3 linked regions of the Drosophila melanogaster genome follow. The protein of the gene in region 1 interacts with the protein of each later gene in a biochemical or structural test. Each region holds a gene or a part of one and is shown on either strand. Other genes may lie near its edges.

Region 1 (5,875 bases):
GTTTCTTTACATTACATTAGGCACTGTGAGTACAATATAAAAGTATACATATATTCACATTATAAGAAAAACTGCTCATTAAATAAAAAATCGTATTGATATTTAATAAATTTTGGGACCTAAAGTATTTAAAAACTAATTATTAAAAAAAAGGGAGGTGAAATGAAGTTAAGAATTATTTAAAATGAATCTCTTCCTAAAGTCACAGAATTTGCAAGGTTTACCTCTGCTGTAGATGCCGGGTAACTATTATTTGATAACAAACTACTGTTATTGAAATCATACTTTTTACTAGTATTAACACAATTGACGCTAACGCCAACGATATTCTTTTCGTGCATGTAGCTTGTGCCTGCTGTAGTTGTTCCAGCTATTCCCATAGATGTTCCTATTTGCGCATTAGGCAATACTATTTGGTTGTTAATACTGACTCCAGTACAAGAACTTTTTTCACTTCCGACTCCGACGATGGACTTATTTGATACTACTGACCCACTGATGTTGCCATTTTGTTTAATGTCCTGTACATTTAGAAAGCAAACATTTCCATCTAGACTTCCAGTTAATTTTCGGTAACTGGATATGTTATAAATGGCAGTCGAATTCATATCACCCGAATTCAGTTGTCTACTATTTACTGTCAATATGCTTGAACCGTTACAGATAACCGATGACTGGGCTCTAACTGGTTCAGACGCAGATAAGCTTCTATTTACAACGTTTGTATAGCTTTGTTGATGCTGCTGTGTTTGCTGTGGGTGATGGATTGGTGGATGCTGCTGATTCGTCAAGTGTGGGGACTGTTGAGCGATCTGCGCTGATGCCTTAAGAATGGAGACCACATTGTATGCCTTATTTATCTGAAACTGAGGCTGAGCAGTGGGATGGCTATGCTGCGGTTGAAGAGGCTGATGAAGAGATTGTGGCTTTGAAGTTGGCACCTGTTGATCATACTTTTTGGTCTTTTTATTGGCTGGCAAAATCTACAACAGATCACAAGAGTGGGAACATTTTCGGACTGTAAAATTGATTTAACAATGATTAAAAAAAAATGTTGCCGAATATATAAGTTATAAAAACTATTAGATAATTGGTTAATCCTACTTTATTGCACTTAAACAAAGTATTAAAAAAACCAAAACAAACCCATTTAAAAATAAAATGAAACTGAGAAATCAAGAATCGGAATTTTGAGTAGTATTACACTTCTGCACTGTGAAATTTGAATATTATACTTATGCAGATTTTTTAATACTTTTCAGCCTCAAATTTTGTGATAAATAAATCCAGAATTAACAAATATATATAAAACATGCATTGGGTTTGATAATTTTATTAGGGTTTAGAGTTTTTGTCCTACGTCCCCTATGGACAAATAATGTTTATGGGATTTAGCTGTCTAACACAGTTCAAATGATAGATTACAAGATTAATTAATTAATAAAAAAAAAGTTGTGCGTACAAAATAAGAACACTAAATGATTAAAAACAATTAAACTATTATTTATTTTGTTATAGCTTCATTTAATTTTCCGACTGTTGCTCCTTAGTCGTCGCCGGCATGTTGACAATTAGCCTTAAAACCAAAGTTATACGCGGTCAAAAAACGGTGTATATCAAGTTGTCATTCAGAAATAAAAAGTATGAAGCTATTATCTTCTGGACTATTTTATATTTATTTTACTCGGCTGCTGATACTGATAAAGAATATATATATAATTTATATGGTCCCAAATATCTCTTTTACTGCGATTTAAATATATGCCTTATATCATTAAGCCCTTCAAAAGGACATCACTATAAAATACAATATCAAGTTGACATTTTATGAATAAAAACAACGAAACTATTATATTAGGGACTATTATATATGGACTGATTCTGTGACTTGGATATGTGAAATCATTAATCCTTTAAATCAATATAATAAAATACATTTCGAATATTTTTTTTCCCTTGGATAGATTAATCACAATGCGTTTTGAGTTTAGCTTTAAAATTACGTTGCTGAGTGTCTGCCAGTTACCAACAAACCAGATTCAGCATCCATTTTTGGAGCCACCGTTGAAATAAAAATTTTTTTAATTAATATTTTTACCGATAAAAACTATATGATTTATGTATGTTTGGAAAAACGCGGTTTTTTATAGTTTAGGTTTTAAATAAAGTACTTCATACCATGCCCGGAAGAGCTTCATTTATGAATTATGTAGCTTTACAGGACTAGAACAATTATTAGTATTCAATCAAGTTCGTTAAAAAAATTTTTAATTTTTTAATTCATTTAGTAAGTAACTTAAATAATTGTAATCGCAAACATATATTTTATAAATTTTTTAATTGAATTATATACCTTTTATACAAACCGCAATATTTATAAAACAAACATATAAAAAAATTCCACAAAAATAGCATTTTCTTTTTAAACTTTGCTGTTATTGTACGAGAAGTGTGATACTATCTTAATAGATTGTTTACATTGACTACAGCAGGCAAACTTATAAAAAATAGGTTTTAGCTCTTTTCGGAACTAGGAAAACATATTTATTTAACGAACTAATTTAAAACAATTGCAAGGAAAGTAATACAGCAAATAATGTCAAAATGTATATATGTAAATAATTTTGGAGATGTTATTTTTATATCGACTTACCATATTTTGTGCTGAATGGGGCTGCATGGCTTTATCTATATCTGATTGTGTTGGTAAAGTTGGTATAGCCTGTTGCATTACGTATGTGTATTCCTAGAGTTAGCTCTGTAGGAAATCGCCAAACGGTTAGATTTACCGTTTCATAGACGATTTCTGTGGTGATTTTGGACCCACAAATACGACGTCATTCAATCATTTGATTCTTTAATGAATATTAATGAATATTAATTGTCCACGTTTCAGTTCTGCATATTTTACCTGGAAATATATTGATATACAGCTACCAGAGAGGTCTCTGAAATTAAAAGAACTGACACGTATAAAATCATTAAATATCACAAAAGATTTCACCCAAATGTTTCAAAAATATAAAGTAGACATTTTGTAATTTATTAAGTCTAGAGCTGAAGCCCAGAGATAATTTCTATTAAACATTTGCCAATCCATCCTGGAGCCTTACTTATTTGCCGACGTTGCCGTTGTGACTTTGGAGATTTCGTTCTCACAATCACAATGGTGCATATGGTGAAAACGTGCCACGAATTCCATCGTTTACATCATTTTTAAAAAGTTAAGACACATTTCAGAATGTTAGTGGTAAAATCTTTTTTCCCTTCACTGTGCACAGTAAACTTGCAAAGTATCATGTAATATTTGTTGCCCAGTGCTCATTATTAACCATCAATTTACCTGAGCAAATGTTTGTATGTGCCTATCCGACGTGATTATGTACAAAAAATACAAATGTTAAGAATTCCACTTTAAGTGTATTTTAAAAATGTATTTATTTATAAAAATGAAGCAGTAATTCCAGCTTTATCTTTACATTCAAAAACTATTTTTTAATAATTTCCACATGCAATGTGTTCTGTTCATACGAACAGAGTTGCATTTATTATTTGAAACATCGATAGCACACAAGAAATAGTGATAACTGAAGAATATCATTATCAACGATAGTTAGGTCACATTTTTAAACGCTTCATCATTAATAATTTAATTTTTTGCTAACCATAAGTTTTTAAAAATAAAAAAAAAATCATATTTCAATGTTAATTATTTACTAAAACTACTTCATAATACGTTTATTCTATTGAGGTTTGCCAAAATTATAATAATGATTGTACATGCTATGCCAGCGTTCAATTCCTGATAATGAGCCCTTTCCGCAACATGGCTAAATAGATCATTATATCTAAGAATACAACATATGGGCAACTTTAAAACAAAATGTTAATTTCATCGTAATTAGGGTTTCTTGAACGTAAAATATAATTAGTTAATTATGGCCAAAATAAGACCCTTTCACACTGACTAAAATACATATGACAATAAAGAAATTGGTAAAAAACGATTCTATATTACATCAAAATATCGATAAATAAAAGAATTTAAATCAAAACAAAAATAATCCGTATTCAGACCCAATTATTTTATATTATTATTATATATTTTTTTTTTTTGGCACGGGTCCAACGGCGACACCTCCCGACCAACCGAACGAGGGGCGCTGCCGTGTATCGTACGCCTCGATTAGCGAGAGGATAGACGCGATATAAAAAAGAGAACAGGATCGAGGAAATGAATATAATATAAAATAACTATATTAAATATTACTGTTAGTAGGATCTAATCATAAAATAAAAAAAGGTAAAATCAATTGCTTTGTGAGCGGCAGAGAGTCAAGATTACAGATATTAGGATAAAGTCTATTATAATCAGAACATAATACTCTGTAAGGGTCACGCAACTCATAGTTAGATCTACAATGATTTAAAATAAGGAACTGAGAACTGAAATAAGGAACTGAGAACTACTACTGAGAACTACTTCGAACTGAGAAGTTAAGCCGACTAATCAAGTCAGAACTCTTAACATCCCCACGAATAAGCTTACAAATAAAGACTGTTCCAAGCATAGTTCTACCAAAGACACTAGAATAACAAGATGCGTAGCGGCCATACATTGGTTTGGCACTATGCAGCCAATTTTTTAGTGACGGCCAAAATTGCTCTCTTTCCGCTCGCTCCCGCTGAGAGCATAAGAAATCTAAAAATAGAATTTGCTTGCTTGTGTGAGTAAAAACAAGAGACGAGAACGCATATATGTGTGCGTGTTGTGCTAGAAGACGATTTTCGGACCGAAATCAATTCTGATCGAAAAAACGAATTTACATTGTACATATTAGGGTAGTTTTTGCCAATTTCGTAGCAATATGATAAAATAAAATAATTTTTAACTGACTATTATCATTTTAAAGCTTTTTAAATTTGTTTGTTAAAATCGCCGCTCGAATTAGCTACCGTTTACACATTTATATTTATGTTTAATTCTAATTTGTCTCTCATCTGACAATTTTTTAAGAAAGCGAAATATTTTTTTTTTTAAACACTTTTAATGTTAATGTTACATCATATAAAGTCAAATGACATAATAAATATAGTAAATAATTAAATATGATAACTGTTTATTGCAAAAGTCATATCAAAGACACTAGAATTATTCTAGTGTCTTTGCTTTGTTCATATCTTGAAGCACGAAGTACGGACACAAGCACTCAACAATCATTGCCTTATTAATTTTTCACACGCCGCAAGATGAATACTCTAATGACAAATATTCTTATATAAAGTCATTTTTGAAATTTATTTTTGTGATAATATGTACATAGATTTGGCTATTTCTAATCTATTTTCATATAATAATAACGTTAAGGCAATGCAAAACAAGAATTTTTCGCATGGTGCCAATTGATCAAAAATAATATAGATTTAAAGTCAAAGAACTTCTAAGGTGAAGGGCATATTTTGTGAAATTTACAATGCATGAGCGAGCATACGTGTGCACACATACAGTTGTCTGCTATCACTTTATGCGATGAAAAGAGCTGTTCGCTGTAGCACTCTCCGCTCTCTCGCTCTCTAACAAAAATTCGAGAGAGCCTGGAGCCACCTCTAGAGCCACGGCGAAAAAATCGTGTGCCAAAAAATCGTATGGCGTTACGCATCTTGTTATTCTAGTGTCTTTGGTTCTACGGTTAGCTAGGGACGGTAAATTAAATTAACGTAGTGTACTGGAATAAGGAGGTAATATACGGTTTGCATCCCACTTTAGGCGCCGCAAGCAAAACGTAATAAGTTTTTTTGGACCGATTCAATGCGGTCCGAGTGGACTGCGTATTGTGGACTCCAAACAGGTGATAGTGATCCGTACTCGAGAATC
Region 2 (7,452 bases), on another chromosome or scaffold:
TCATTAAATTACTGATGCGGTGCAATGCTTGTATATGAGGCACGCGAGAACGGCGCTTAGAGGTAAGCAAATTTTTAAAGCGTTGCGATGTGCATACAGTTGGATTTTTGAGAAGCGCAGAGAACGGCGCATTAAAGTAAATAGCTTCAATTTTAACATTTAAGTTCAGTTCACTGGGCTTACTTCGAACAAAAATGACTTAAACCAAGTAAAACAGTTGATCCACACAATATTAATCCACGGCGATGGCATCTTTTGACACTGTTGAGAACCTTGTGAAAGAAACTGCTACTGCTGCTTCTGCCTGCGGCTGTTGTGGCAACATCATCATCATTCATTTGCGCCCAGGTGCGTTTTCGTGTGCACTCAGTATTTTGCCGCTTACTTGTACTCGTATTTGGGTTTTGGCATGGGACTGGGCTGGGGTTCCCGGTGTCTATTGCACACCTTGTGCCAACTTTCTGCGGATCCTTGCAACGAAGCCACACGTGAGTCGCCCTATTCTTGTTTGTTATTCTTAAAACTTGCGCCTGATTCCGCTTGGCTGGTTTTGGTGTCTGCTTGAGTTTTAGTTGCTGTCTGCATTTCGTTTTTGGTTTCCGGTCCTGTCGCCTGTTTTTGGACGCATTTCCTGGTCGATGTGTTGCTCTACCTATTAAACTTGGGTATACGTAGAAATAGTGAATTTCTACTTGTAATTTTTTCAGCTTAGGTTGAATGTGTCCCTTAGCTCAATAATTAGCAAACTTCTTTAGTGTTTTTGTTTATCTGAACACAGAACACAGTTTGGGGCTTTAGTGTTTTTCCAGTACGACTTTACAAGTTTCCATCGATAAGGTCACAGCTCCAAGTCGACGGATAAAGAAAACATTTCGCCACCAGTTTTGAACAGATGTCGAGGCCGCGGTGACTCTGGCTTTTGACGGTATGTTCCGAATCATTCAAAATTCGATATGTCGGCTAGCTACACACGCCTGTTCCGCGTTTTGTTCGTGATAATTTTCATCAAGTTACTCCTCCTTTTGGGACTCCTTTTGGACAGCTACGATGGTGCTGCCCGGCTTCAGAGGCGGTCGAATGTGGATATATTTGATGAACTACTCGTAGATCGGAGGCAAAGTAAGAAAAACTTCCAATTAGGAAAAGCTTTCGCTGGGGTCAGAGTGTATTAAAAGTGTGTCAATATCAGAATGTACATTTAAGGAGCCCACCTACCATTTTAGTGCCTTCTTGGGAGCAGCGATTGGAATGGATCCGCGAGGAAATGCATTCGTTTCCGCTGAAAGAGCTCCTGGCCAGAAAAAACAGACGATTGCCTTCAGTGAAGTGCGGCCCCGATATGATGAACATTGATTTTCATTGATAGCCCTCTGCCAGGCTATTGATGGCAATAGTCCCATCCACAGATCCCAAGTTCGTGGTATGTGTGAAGGCGAGGGATTTTCCAAAAACTGAGGCTTATTATATGCACCGCAAGTGCAAGTGCGTGTAACGCTGTATGCATGTATTTATGGCTTTTAAGCTGTGCCAAAGTTATTTAAATTACTGATATCTGGCTTCTTTGTGGGTTTATCATGTGATTATTTGGGCAAGCAATAAAAGAAAATGCTGTATTTTGGCACAATATTCTTCATGATTCCGTCTATGAGTTGCCTACAACAGCTGTTAAGTTTCCACGGTTGTCTGTTAAGTTGCCTGTCCCTCTGTTGCTCGATCGAGCAGGTCCTGGGAAATCCTTGTCGTTTGCTTCAGTCGGCCACGAACTGTTGGTCGGGTTGGAGGTGGACTCACCGACGCCACAACCGCCCTCTGATTGCCTTTTTGATGCATTGGGATGTTTGTATTTGATGTGTTGCTTTTTTGCGTAATGCAACTGCTAACGACTCTTTAAATATTTTACACGATTTAGCATTTCATAATGATAATACCCGCAATCCGCTTGCGGGGGGCATGCGTTTATGGTTCAATTTCAGTTTATGCATTCTCATAATGCTTGATGATTTCAGAATGCCGTGTTTGCATTTCAACTCCAAATGACTTTTTCAGAGCGATTCATTCGCTGGCAAAATGCAAAAATGCACATAGAATTTAATTTAATTTGCGCACACTCATGCACCATTTATCCACTTCTAATTAATTGCATTGCACAAGAACACAAAACGCAAAACATTTGAATGCGAATGTCTGAACGGACATGAACAAATATACAAATGTGAACAAAAACACGCTCAGAGCTAACTGAACTGAACTGAACAGGGCAAAAAGCGACACAAGATGAAAATATTCATTATTATTTGGCCAAATTGCGAATTAATGATATGAGCAAACAGGCAGGCCATAGTGTTGTTGGCATGCAAATTATGGCAGCGCGCAAAAACAAAAGCAATGCAATTTTTTAATTAAATGCTTTAGCTGTAATCCAGGAGCGCTTAGTGGAGTTCGGATTAGGCCATATACTCGCGAATCCGATCCCAGTGATGGGAAAAAATGCAGAATAGTACCGAAGTGGGACCGGACTTTTGTTACCAAAAGTCATTTTTCAGAGCAAAGTAAGTCTAGAAATATAAATCAGTTTTGGACGACACTTCGTTGTGAGAACAACCGGGTTTTAGTCAAATTTTATTTACAAAACCATTGCGATTTATTTGTTGATATATTTTGATTGACCTAAGCGGTATTCGGATATTCGCAGTGCGTTAGGTAAGTTGTGTAGACCCAATTCGTAGTGATTAATTATGGCATTAGAACTGTTCGTTGGGTTTCTCCTCCTTCGTCATCTTCGTTTACAAATAAGGTAGTGTGTTCCTTGTCGTATGTAGTATGTCTTGTCTGTCGGTCAGCTTAGATTTCATTGGCTGCCGCCGATTACTGGGAATCCCCGAAAGTATGCAAAAAGTTGGGCTAGAGCAATTGAGCGGATTGACGGTAGTGGGGATGGAGCTACCCCTGCTTAACCCCATCACCCGTCTAGTGCAACCGGCATACAAGAATACGAGGAACAAAGTTCAAACTAGCCAAACAAAACAAAACAGAACAGAGCTGAACTAAACTAAACAAAACAAAACAAAACAGAGCTAAACAAAACACACACAACGCAACAGGGAGCTGCTCATGTTTTTTGTTAATTAAAATTGGCATAGCAGCCGAGGGGAAAGGCAAGGACTGGGAACAACATTTTTGCATTTTCATCAGTTTTTCGAGGCAGCTAGCAGTCAGCAGCCGGCATTTGAACATTTCAACATTTCGGCATTTCAGCCAGCGACGATGGCTCACAGGTCATAGGTCACAGAAGGCGAGCACAGATGCCAATGTAGAGTAGTCCACCTTCCTTCAACTTCCTTCCCACTTCCAACGTTCAACTGAATGAGTGCCACTTCCTCGCTGTGTGCATATTTACCTTTAGAACATTTACTTTTTCAACAGACGACAACCGACCCGTTGAGGGCGAGTCCTCGATTTATGTGCTGCCAATAAATTTGCCCAACACTTTGGCCCCGTCTAATGCAATATTTACATCGCATCGGGCCAAATAAAAAATTGCATCGATAGGAACTGAGAAGGGCGAAACTGCTTTGCGGGAACTGAGAGAAATCCAAGGTGCCTTCTATTGTGGCTTTCGACTACTCCCATAAGTAAATTATTCATTGAAATGAATCTAGATCGCCAAAGTACAGTGACATAAAGATTCAAAAGCAGTTCATTACATGCTATAATCTAAACTACTGTCGCGATAAAATTTAGTTGATCTCTGTAATACTTTCGCTAAGTGCACCCGCACGTCTTGTAGTTTCTGTTTCTGTTTTGGCCCTGCTTTTCATTTTGATGTCATTTAAGTTAAAAGAGGAACATTTGGAAATGTCGGGTATGAGATCCCTAAACGGCTTTTAAGAAGGAAAACCTCCTGCAATGTGTTGCCTTTGTTGTTTCCCTAATTTGTATGGCAGAAGTGAAAGGAGATTCCCATATCTGTACAGTTCTTAGCCCATGCCAAGTGATACAAATGTACATATGAAGTCCATGGTTAAGGCACAGATATTCCATTAAAACAAAATCGGGTCAAATAAAATGGCCATAAACTGCTTGCCAAAAGCGTGAAAGCACAACACTCGCTCAAAGTCCAAGTCCGCTCAAACATTTGCCACGCCTTGGATTCTGTTTCTGATTCCAATTTCTGATTGATTTTTTCTCACTCATAAATTCGAGTCCTTTTGACCCCATTTTAACTTATGGCAGCCAGAGTCAAATCAAAGTTTGTTCTCCTGGTGGTTTACTTTTGTGATGCCATTACATAAAGATTCCTTCGTCCGCTGCATATCGTAAATGTAGAGAATTTTTAATGATTTTAAAAGATGCGTAAATACCAAGGCATCGTAATCTTTTCTATCGGAGATTTTGGCGTGTGAAAAACGCTTTTACTCGGTTATTTCCAAGGGGCAAGCACAACTTGACCCAGCTAATAAGAAATGCGTGCTGTGTTACCTTACACCCGTGTGTTTGGGGTTTTGCACCCACTCAAATCATTCAGTTCGGGGGGTGTGTAAATATTTGTTGCTAAAGTTGCCAACTTCTGCACACGTCCCTTGGTCTTGGTCAGTTTTTCCTTTCGTGCTTCCAAAGAAGAAATTTCCAGCTCACGTCTTAGAGAAAAGGGGCATGTTGGCTTGTTTGCCTCATTAGTCGGAAGTTCAGAAAGAGCGTTTGGCTTGGCTTTGTGGATTCATCATATATATAATTGTATAGGAAGCTACGAAAATGAAAGATCCCAAAAATCGCCATTATATTAACCCTTTTTTTTGTTAGATTTGTTTGTTTAAACATAGCGCTAACCTCGCCATTTCCGTATAACTCTACAGCCGTTGCTGACCTCGAACAAAGCCGCCATGCTTCCCAACAGCTTTTACAGGATGAGGGACTTTGCCAATCCGAGAACAATGTTTAAAAGCTGTGCGAACAACAATGAATATCCCACACAAGGTCCCCAAAAAGTGGAGTCACCAACTGATGTTACCCAGCCTGCTGCAGCTCCTCAATCCACTGAAGATACTCAACCAGAAAAGACCCAAGAACCGATGAATGATCCAAACAAAACGTCGCCATCAGAGCCCCAAAAACGTGGCAAGGGGAACCGGAAGGGCAAGAAGAATCAAAAGAATGCGCCACGCACTCCCAGTCAGACGAGCAAGAGCAGTCGAAGCAACAATCCGGGCAAAGATGGAAAGTCGACGGGAAATGATGACAATGAGAAGGGTAAAGGCCAAGGAAAACAGATGGTCCAGCAGAAAGAAAATAGCCCTGAACAGGAGCAGTCGACTAGTGCACAATATAGGAAGAATGTGCTCGACAAGGATCTGCAGGACAAGAAGCTAATCGAAAAGAATATGCAGGGAAAGATAATCACACAAGAAAATCTTTTAGGGCAGAAGGTCCTAATGCGGTTATCCGAGCAGAAGCTTTTGAGCTTGAGGCTCGAGCCCAGGATTAAACAGAACACATGTCCACCGGCCAAAAAAGAAGATGCGGTGGTCGCTTTTGACAATTCACTAGAATTTCTGTCACTGAACAATAAATGTGATGATGATCTGACCATCGCGGCGGAGAACGCCGAACTTTTGGAGGTCGAGGATCCTCAACATCCACTCAACAACTGCTGGACTCTGTGGTATCTAGAGAACGATCGAAATAAAAGTTGGGAAGAAATGCTGCACAAGGTTACAAGCTTCGATACCGTGGAGAAGTTTTGGAGCCTGATCACTCACATCAAGCCCCCATCCGAGCTTATGCTGGGCAGTGACTACTCCCTGTTCAAGAAGGGCATTCGACCCATGTGGGAGGATGAGGCCAATGTCAATGGAGGACGCTGGGTCATCAACTTGACCAAGAGCGCCAAGATGGCTCTGGACAGTTTCTGGATGGACGCCATGCTCTGTCTGATTGGAGAGGCCTGTAAGCACTCGGACGATCTTTGTGGCGTTGTGGTCAATATTCGCGGAAAGTCGAACAAGATCTCTATTTGGAACGCTGACGGGGGAAATCAGACTACAGTCCTTGAAATTGGACGCATTTTACGCAAGGTTCTACGCATGGACAACATATACGTGCTGGAGTATCAGTTGCACAAGGACTCCAAGGATAAACTGGGATCAACTGTGAAGAGAATATACACTGTATAGGTTCTCATCAGACAATTGCGAATCGAAACATTTTCAGTATTTTCGGTATTTTTTCACAAGAACTTGAAATGTCAAGCAGGTGTGATCAGCCATCGATCGATAGTTAGTTGGGTTCCAAATCTCTAGTCAAACCATCCGTACACGTACACGTTGTACATAAAAATTTGAATGTTGCTCCTATAGAGCGACGAAATAAATACATAACTATTTGGTCAAGAAGTTGTTTGTTTTAAAGTGTGAAATTGGAGAGTGTTGGAGAGAGACTGCGAAATGTTTCTAACTATGCACCTTCTTTACTAATTTAACCCGATTCCAAGAACATGCAACATGGTTTGTCTCGATTCCTGAGTTCCAATCGGTGTATTGGATGTTCTTTGTCTGCTCCACTGCTAACCATTGGGGCGGGCATTCAGAAGTTGGTTGCTAGCTTTTTGTTCGCTTTCACATCGGTCAGCGGACATGGGACATTTGGACATTGGACATTGGCCGTTGGACTTATTTGGCGCACGGCGTCACACAACTTGGCCGTGCTCAATTGTTTGATTTATTGGCATTTATTGGCAGTTGGCATTTTATTGTGACTGCTTTGGGTGACCACGTAAGGGGAGCCAATGATGTTGGAGTGGAGGCAGGTGCGTTCTCCTGGCACTGAATTCCTTTTGTTGCTGTTCTTGGCCACTTTTCCATTTGACGGGCTTTAATGTGCTTAATGTATTTTCTGTGCCTTGCTGTGACCATTTTCCTACCTTCTAATTTCTTCCTGAGCTTTTTTTAGCCACTCTTGCGAGGATTTACTATTTACCAAATATTCTGGTGACTCCACGAAAAAGGTCAAGGCCCAGGTGATTTGGCCCAAGTGCGCACCATAAAAGCGAGCTCACCTATATTTCGCCATTGATTTATGGCACTTAATTTCATTCCATTGTGCCAACGAGCCAGAGCCATTGATTAAACACCTTAACGATTTTCTATGGCCACCAACCGTTGTAGTTGGGCACCCACTTATTAGAGATGGAAAACCGAGGAAAGCGAAAGCGAGAAGCCATTGTATCGATTTGGTTTGCGATCCCAAACGGTGGGGGATGGTGGGTAAGGGGGCTTACGGACTAGTCCGATGTTTAACAATGGTATTGGCAATAAACCGAAACGGAAAATCTGTAACATATATGTATGCTGAACAGGAGCCGAAACCAAGCCGCCCACTTCACCCAGAACAATTGCCAAAAAGTCCTTTCTCTTCTGTCCTATAAATAAAAAAATTTGAAGTGTCTGGCACTCGCAC
Region 3 (4,743 bases), on another chromosome or scaffold:
GCAGTGCGCGCCGGCAACAATTTCCACATCATTTTCAAATAAATCTCAGACACACGAAAACAATTCGTAATTCGAATGAAAACCTCTGGCGAACACGCAGTAGGAAAACCTCCGAAAACGGAAAAACGTCCAATGAAAAATTAGCAACAATTTCCAAGCGTTGCAATAGCAATAGCAACGACTGCATCGCCAACTTACATAATCAGCCAGACACCAACTATTTTGGCATCGTGTGAAGCCTCCCCAAAAAACCAGCAGATATACACACATATATATGTACATATAAACTGCATGCCCACCCGTTTTGGCCAAATTTCAAATGGCCCGGGAGGTGGGCGTGTGCCTGCCTGCCAGGTGATGGCAATCGGCAATCTTAACGCCTTTTTGAGGTCTCTGCCAATTTGGCAAGCGCCATAGACTCGAATGGCATTTGATAATTAGACAATTTGGCCCACAGAAGTTAACCAAAAGCGACATTCCCCCCCAATCAACTTGGCCAATGATGCTGATATGGCCCAAAGACCCACAGCACAATGAAGTAGAGAAATGCGCGCAGAGTAAAGGGGCGCGATAAAAAATCAAGTGAAAGTTTTTATAGGCTGATGATGATGCTGATGCCGATGCTGCTGCTCTACAAATGTTTGCTGCCAAGCAAAATCATTTACAATTAACATAAATAATAAATTAAAGTCATCGGTTCAAATGCATTATCAATGTGTCAAAGCAATGACCTGGCACATTGGAGCAAAGCTGTAAGTTTTGGAGGGGAAATACAAGCTGAGTTAGCCGGAGAAAGGTCGATTGAATGAGATTTACATGAAGAGCTGAAAGCTCACCTAAAATATGGGCCACACGTTTCTAAAGTTACATTCCCAAAGAAAGATACAATATCTATCTAATCTATCTTCATTATGCGTAAAAACTACCACTTATCAATCCCTAAGTATTCTAAATCACTTTATAATCCTAAATTTCAGACCGAAACCAATTGCGAGATGTACCGAGCGGTGATGGAGGAGGTGGCCCGCTTCTTTGAGCGCTACCAGTTGCAGCAACAACTCCAGCAGACCCAACGCAATGGAGAGCAGATTGCCCGCTCCAAGAGTCTGCATCATGTCCACGGAGTGGGCAACACCTCCCTGCAGAGCGATGCTCGGGATGATGACGCCTCCAGCGGCGGATCAGCTTCATATCTACGCGCCCGGAGCAGCACCAATTTGATGTTGAATAAATCAATGCATGCCATGGACGAGGAGCACAATTACGAGACGATTGCACCAGCTGGAAGCTATAATGCCTTCAAGGATTTTACATGGTAAGGGGAGATCAATAGCAGTGCTAATAATTTTCAAACAATTAATAACGAAATGTCTTCTCTCTGCCAAAGGCGTCGATCCCCGAAGAAGTCTGGAGGCAGTGGCGGTTGCAAGTCACGTCTATCGGCTCCTGAGGCAGCCGAGGAAAAGCTGAATCAGGAGGCCTTTCGTTTGGCCAGAACCATAAGGAATCTTTTGCACACCTCGGAACAGCAACCAGATCTCACGCAGCCGCGCCACTCGCTCGCTTCCATTTCATCGCTGCCCTCGGGAAATCACCGCCTATGCAAGGGGAAAACCAGTTCGGTGATGACACTACTGACGCCACCATTGCACAATTCCACCAGTATCATGAGTGCCACACTGGAGACTCCATCACCGGGCGGGAAATCAAATGCGGAACTCATCTTTCTGCGGGCCAACAACATGCGCGACTCGAGGCTATCGTTGCGCAGCTCCACCGACAGTTCCGTGCATTCCACCATCTCGTCGACGGCATCCTCCTCCTCGAAAGTGGAAACGGATGAGGAGACGCAGACACAGACCACCGCCAGCAACACAGCCATCAGCAATAGCAATAACAAAACCACCAGCAATAAGCAGAGCGGTTCCAGTACCGAGGATGAGAGTGGCTTCAGTTCGATTAGCTCCTTTCACGATGTCGGCTTGCCCCTGAGTTCCACCTTGATGAATGGAAACCAGCGACGCCTGTCCATGTCCTCGGACAGCAGGAACTCCACACTAAAGTCCGGATTAAATATGGTGGGGCTGCCCATGCAAAATCAGACTCAAGTTCAAGTACAGGTTCAAGCTCAGATATCAACCGCTCCATCGCCCTCGAAAACCTATCGCAATGCGAATCGCTACCAGCGCTTCTCCACTTTGTCCAACGAGGATGCAGCCGCTGTTTTATGGGTCTAGACGGGTGGATGATTCAAAACCAGCCTTGAGATAATTTATTAACGTATTTCTAAAAGAATTGAGAATCTTTTCAAATATGGTTACGAAAACCGTGTTTTTTTTTATTTTGAACACCCCGTAGCTGTTTCGATTTGTTTTCTCTAGTGCCTCCGCTTAGTGTTTAATTGACCATTGGAATAGAGTGCATACATTTTCATTTTGTATGTTATTATTTTTTTTTTTAAGGACCAAGCGCGCATTTCTATGTTAACAATATGTAAATTGATTTGTCTTAAGTTTTGCAGTATTTATAAATGAATAAAAATAATTTATATTAAAAGAAAAAACCAGCATAGTATGCTTACACCCAGGTGTCATTGTCATTTCATTTCCTTCTTTTCGACAGGTTTCGTTTAGGTCTAGAAAAATGTGCTAAAGTATTTTTGGTTATTAGTAAGCAATTCCCACTCGAATCGCGACAAAATTCGTTGAGAACACAGCCGTCAGCAAATAAATTAAGGTTACCTGTTCGTATCGAAAAAAAAAAAACAAGTCAACCAACAACATGGCCAGTGCACAAGTGCAAAGTTTTGATATTATGAAGCAGCAGGATCAGCAACATCAGCTGAATAGTATCCATAAGCATCATCATCACCACGAAGGTGTTCCACTGGAGAGCAATAGCCCAGAACCTATCGATGAAGAGATATACCAAGTCGAGTACAAGCATCCTTTGGAGCATGTGTGGACTTTGTGGTATTTGGAAAACGATCGCACCAAGCACTGGAAGGACATGCTAAACGAGATTACCGAGATTGACAGTGTGGAGACCTTCTGGAGCTTGTACCATACCATCAAGACCCCAGCGGAGCTGAAGATTGGATGCGATTACTCCGTGTTCAAGAAGGGCATAAAGTACGAATAAATCATTGTTCATTGAGAGATGCTAACTTAAATCCTCTACTCCCAAAGACCCATGTGGGAGGATGAAGCCAACATCAAGGGTGGTCGCTGGCTGGTCACCGTGAGTAAGAGTGCCAAAGCGGAATTGGATCAAATTTGGCTGGACATTCTACTGCTGATGGTGGGCCAAAATTTTGAATACTCCGACGAGATCTGCGGAGCTGTCATCAATATACGTAACAAGAGCAACAAAATCTGTAAGTTTATCAAATGTGTTCTGCACATTGATAAAAAACTGTATCTATTACAGCGGTTTGGACTGCCAACGGGAGTAACGAAATGGCCATTCTGGAGATCGGCCAGAAGCTGAAGATACTCCTTCATTTGCAATCGCATAGTTTGCAGTATCAACTTCATTCCGATGCAATGTCCAAATTCAATTCGGGCGTCAAATCGGTTTATACACTCTGAAAGCGATTGTTTAGGTCCTCTACGTTAGTATATTTTTATTTTTGTACACCAGATTCGTAAGTGTGGAAGATATGATTGGCTTGGTGTATATGAATATTTACTTGGAATTGCCCCTACAAAATTGTTCTATAGACTAAATTAAAAACCTAATTTTCTATGCGCAACAATTGCATCTTTTCGGGTGAGATTGTGGTAACTGTCGAAGTTTGTGTAATTCGTTGCCTACTTTGCAGCTTCAAAGCTAAGAATAAAAAATGCTTTGATTTAAAAATGTTTTCCTTTAATCATTGTTCATATATTAACTTAAACATCTTCATGCTTTGAACGCCTTACGACTTAGGGTCGTAATTGCCTACTCAAGCAAAATCGTTGAGTTATAATCAATATGGTAAGATAGGGTTTTTAAAAAATTTACTCAGTAAACATTCACAGCTTGTTGCGGTGTGGCGATCATCCGACCGAAAACCATCCGAATCGATCGTTCGGTGCGTGCGTGAATTCGATCCCTAGTCACTGCAATGAGTAGTTGATTACATTTAGCGACGCGACACAATTATACGGGCACGGGAGTACACATATGGAGAACTATTTACAAGTTAATCATGATCAATCGACAGCTCGGGCAAACGCTTCAACATTTGCGAGCCTTCCTATCGACAGGTGCAACTTAACAATACATTTTACAATCTAAACAATATTGGACGCTCGATAATTTGTTTCTGGTTGTGTTGTGAGATTACGAATTCGAAGCTTGTATATGCACTCGGACATGGGCGACCAATGCTCAAGGAATAGCACTGCAAGCGAGTCTCTCCAAAAAGAGACTTCCAAAATGGAATACACAATTTGACTGTGGAGTCATCATCATCATCAGCTCTAAATGCGGCCCACAACGGCCTTGTTTTTCCGCGTGGGTTGCACCGAAAGTGGCGGTACCACTAGCATCTCGGATTGTGTTGACGGCGAACTGCTTCGCATGCTTGCACAGTCCTCATCATCAACCTCCTATAAAAATATAATTATACATCAGTTTTTGTTCACATCGATGCTGTAGTTGTACACACATTTATATTCGTGCAGCTGGCCAAACGCATCTGGGCCAATTGAGAGGCAGGTGTTAGAGAGTTGGTGCTGCCAAACGGCGAAGTCATCA

What was found.
Region 2: the proteins of eIF4G1 (region 1) and eIF4E7 form a complex in vitro, tested with the Drosophila melanogaster proteins (one study listed by BioGRID).
Region 3: the proteins of eIF4G1 (region 1) and eIF4E5 form a complex in vitro, tested with the Drosophila melanogaster proteins (one study listed by BioGRID).

What each region holds. Positions count from the first base shown.
Region 1 is NC_004353.4:927,169-933,043, forward strand, and holds the start of eIF4G1 (eukaryotic translation initiation factor 4G1), read right to left. Parts: upstream 3,548-5,875; 5' UTR 3,344-3,547; exon of another isoform or gene 3,114-3,343; intron 2,964-3,113; 5' UTR 2,912-2,963; intron 2,856-2,911; 5' UTR 2,732-2,855; coding exon 2,654-2,731; intron 984-2,653; coding exon 225-983; intron 1-224.
Region 2 is NC_004354.4:1,157,534-1,164,985, reverse strand, and holds eIF4E7 (eukaryotic translation initiation factor 4E7), read left to right. Parts: upstream 1-2,596; 5' UTR 2,597-2,700; intron 2,701-4,853; 5' UTR 4,854-4,880; coding exon 4,881-6,170; 3' UTR 6,171-6,387; downstream 6,388-7,452.
Region 3 is NT_037436.4:7,892,258-7,897,000, forward strand, and holds eIF4E5 (eukaryotic translation initiation factor 4E5), read left to right. Parts: upstream 1-2,622; 5' UTR 2,623-2,781; coding exon 2,782-3,131; intron 3,132-3,188; coding exon 3,189-3,376; intron 3,377-3,429; coding exon 3,430-3,590; 3' UTR 3,591-3,752; downstream 3,753-4,743. Other genes in the region: CG32365 (uncharacterized protein), read left to right, coding at 978-1,315, 1,388-2,237; pbl (pebble), read right to left, coding at 4,467-4,595, 4,655-4,743.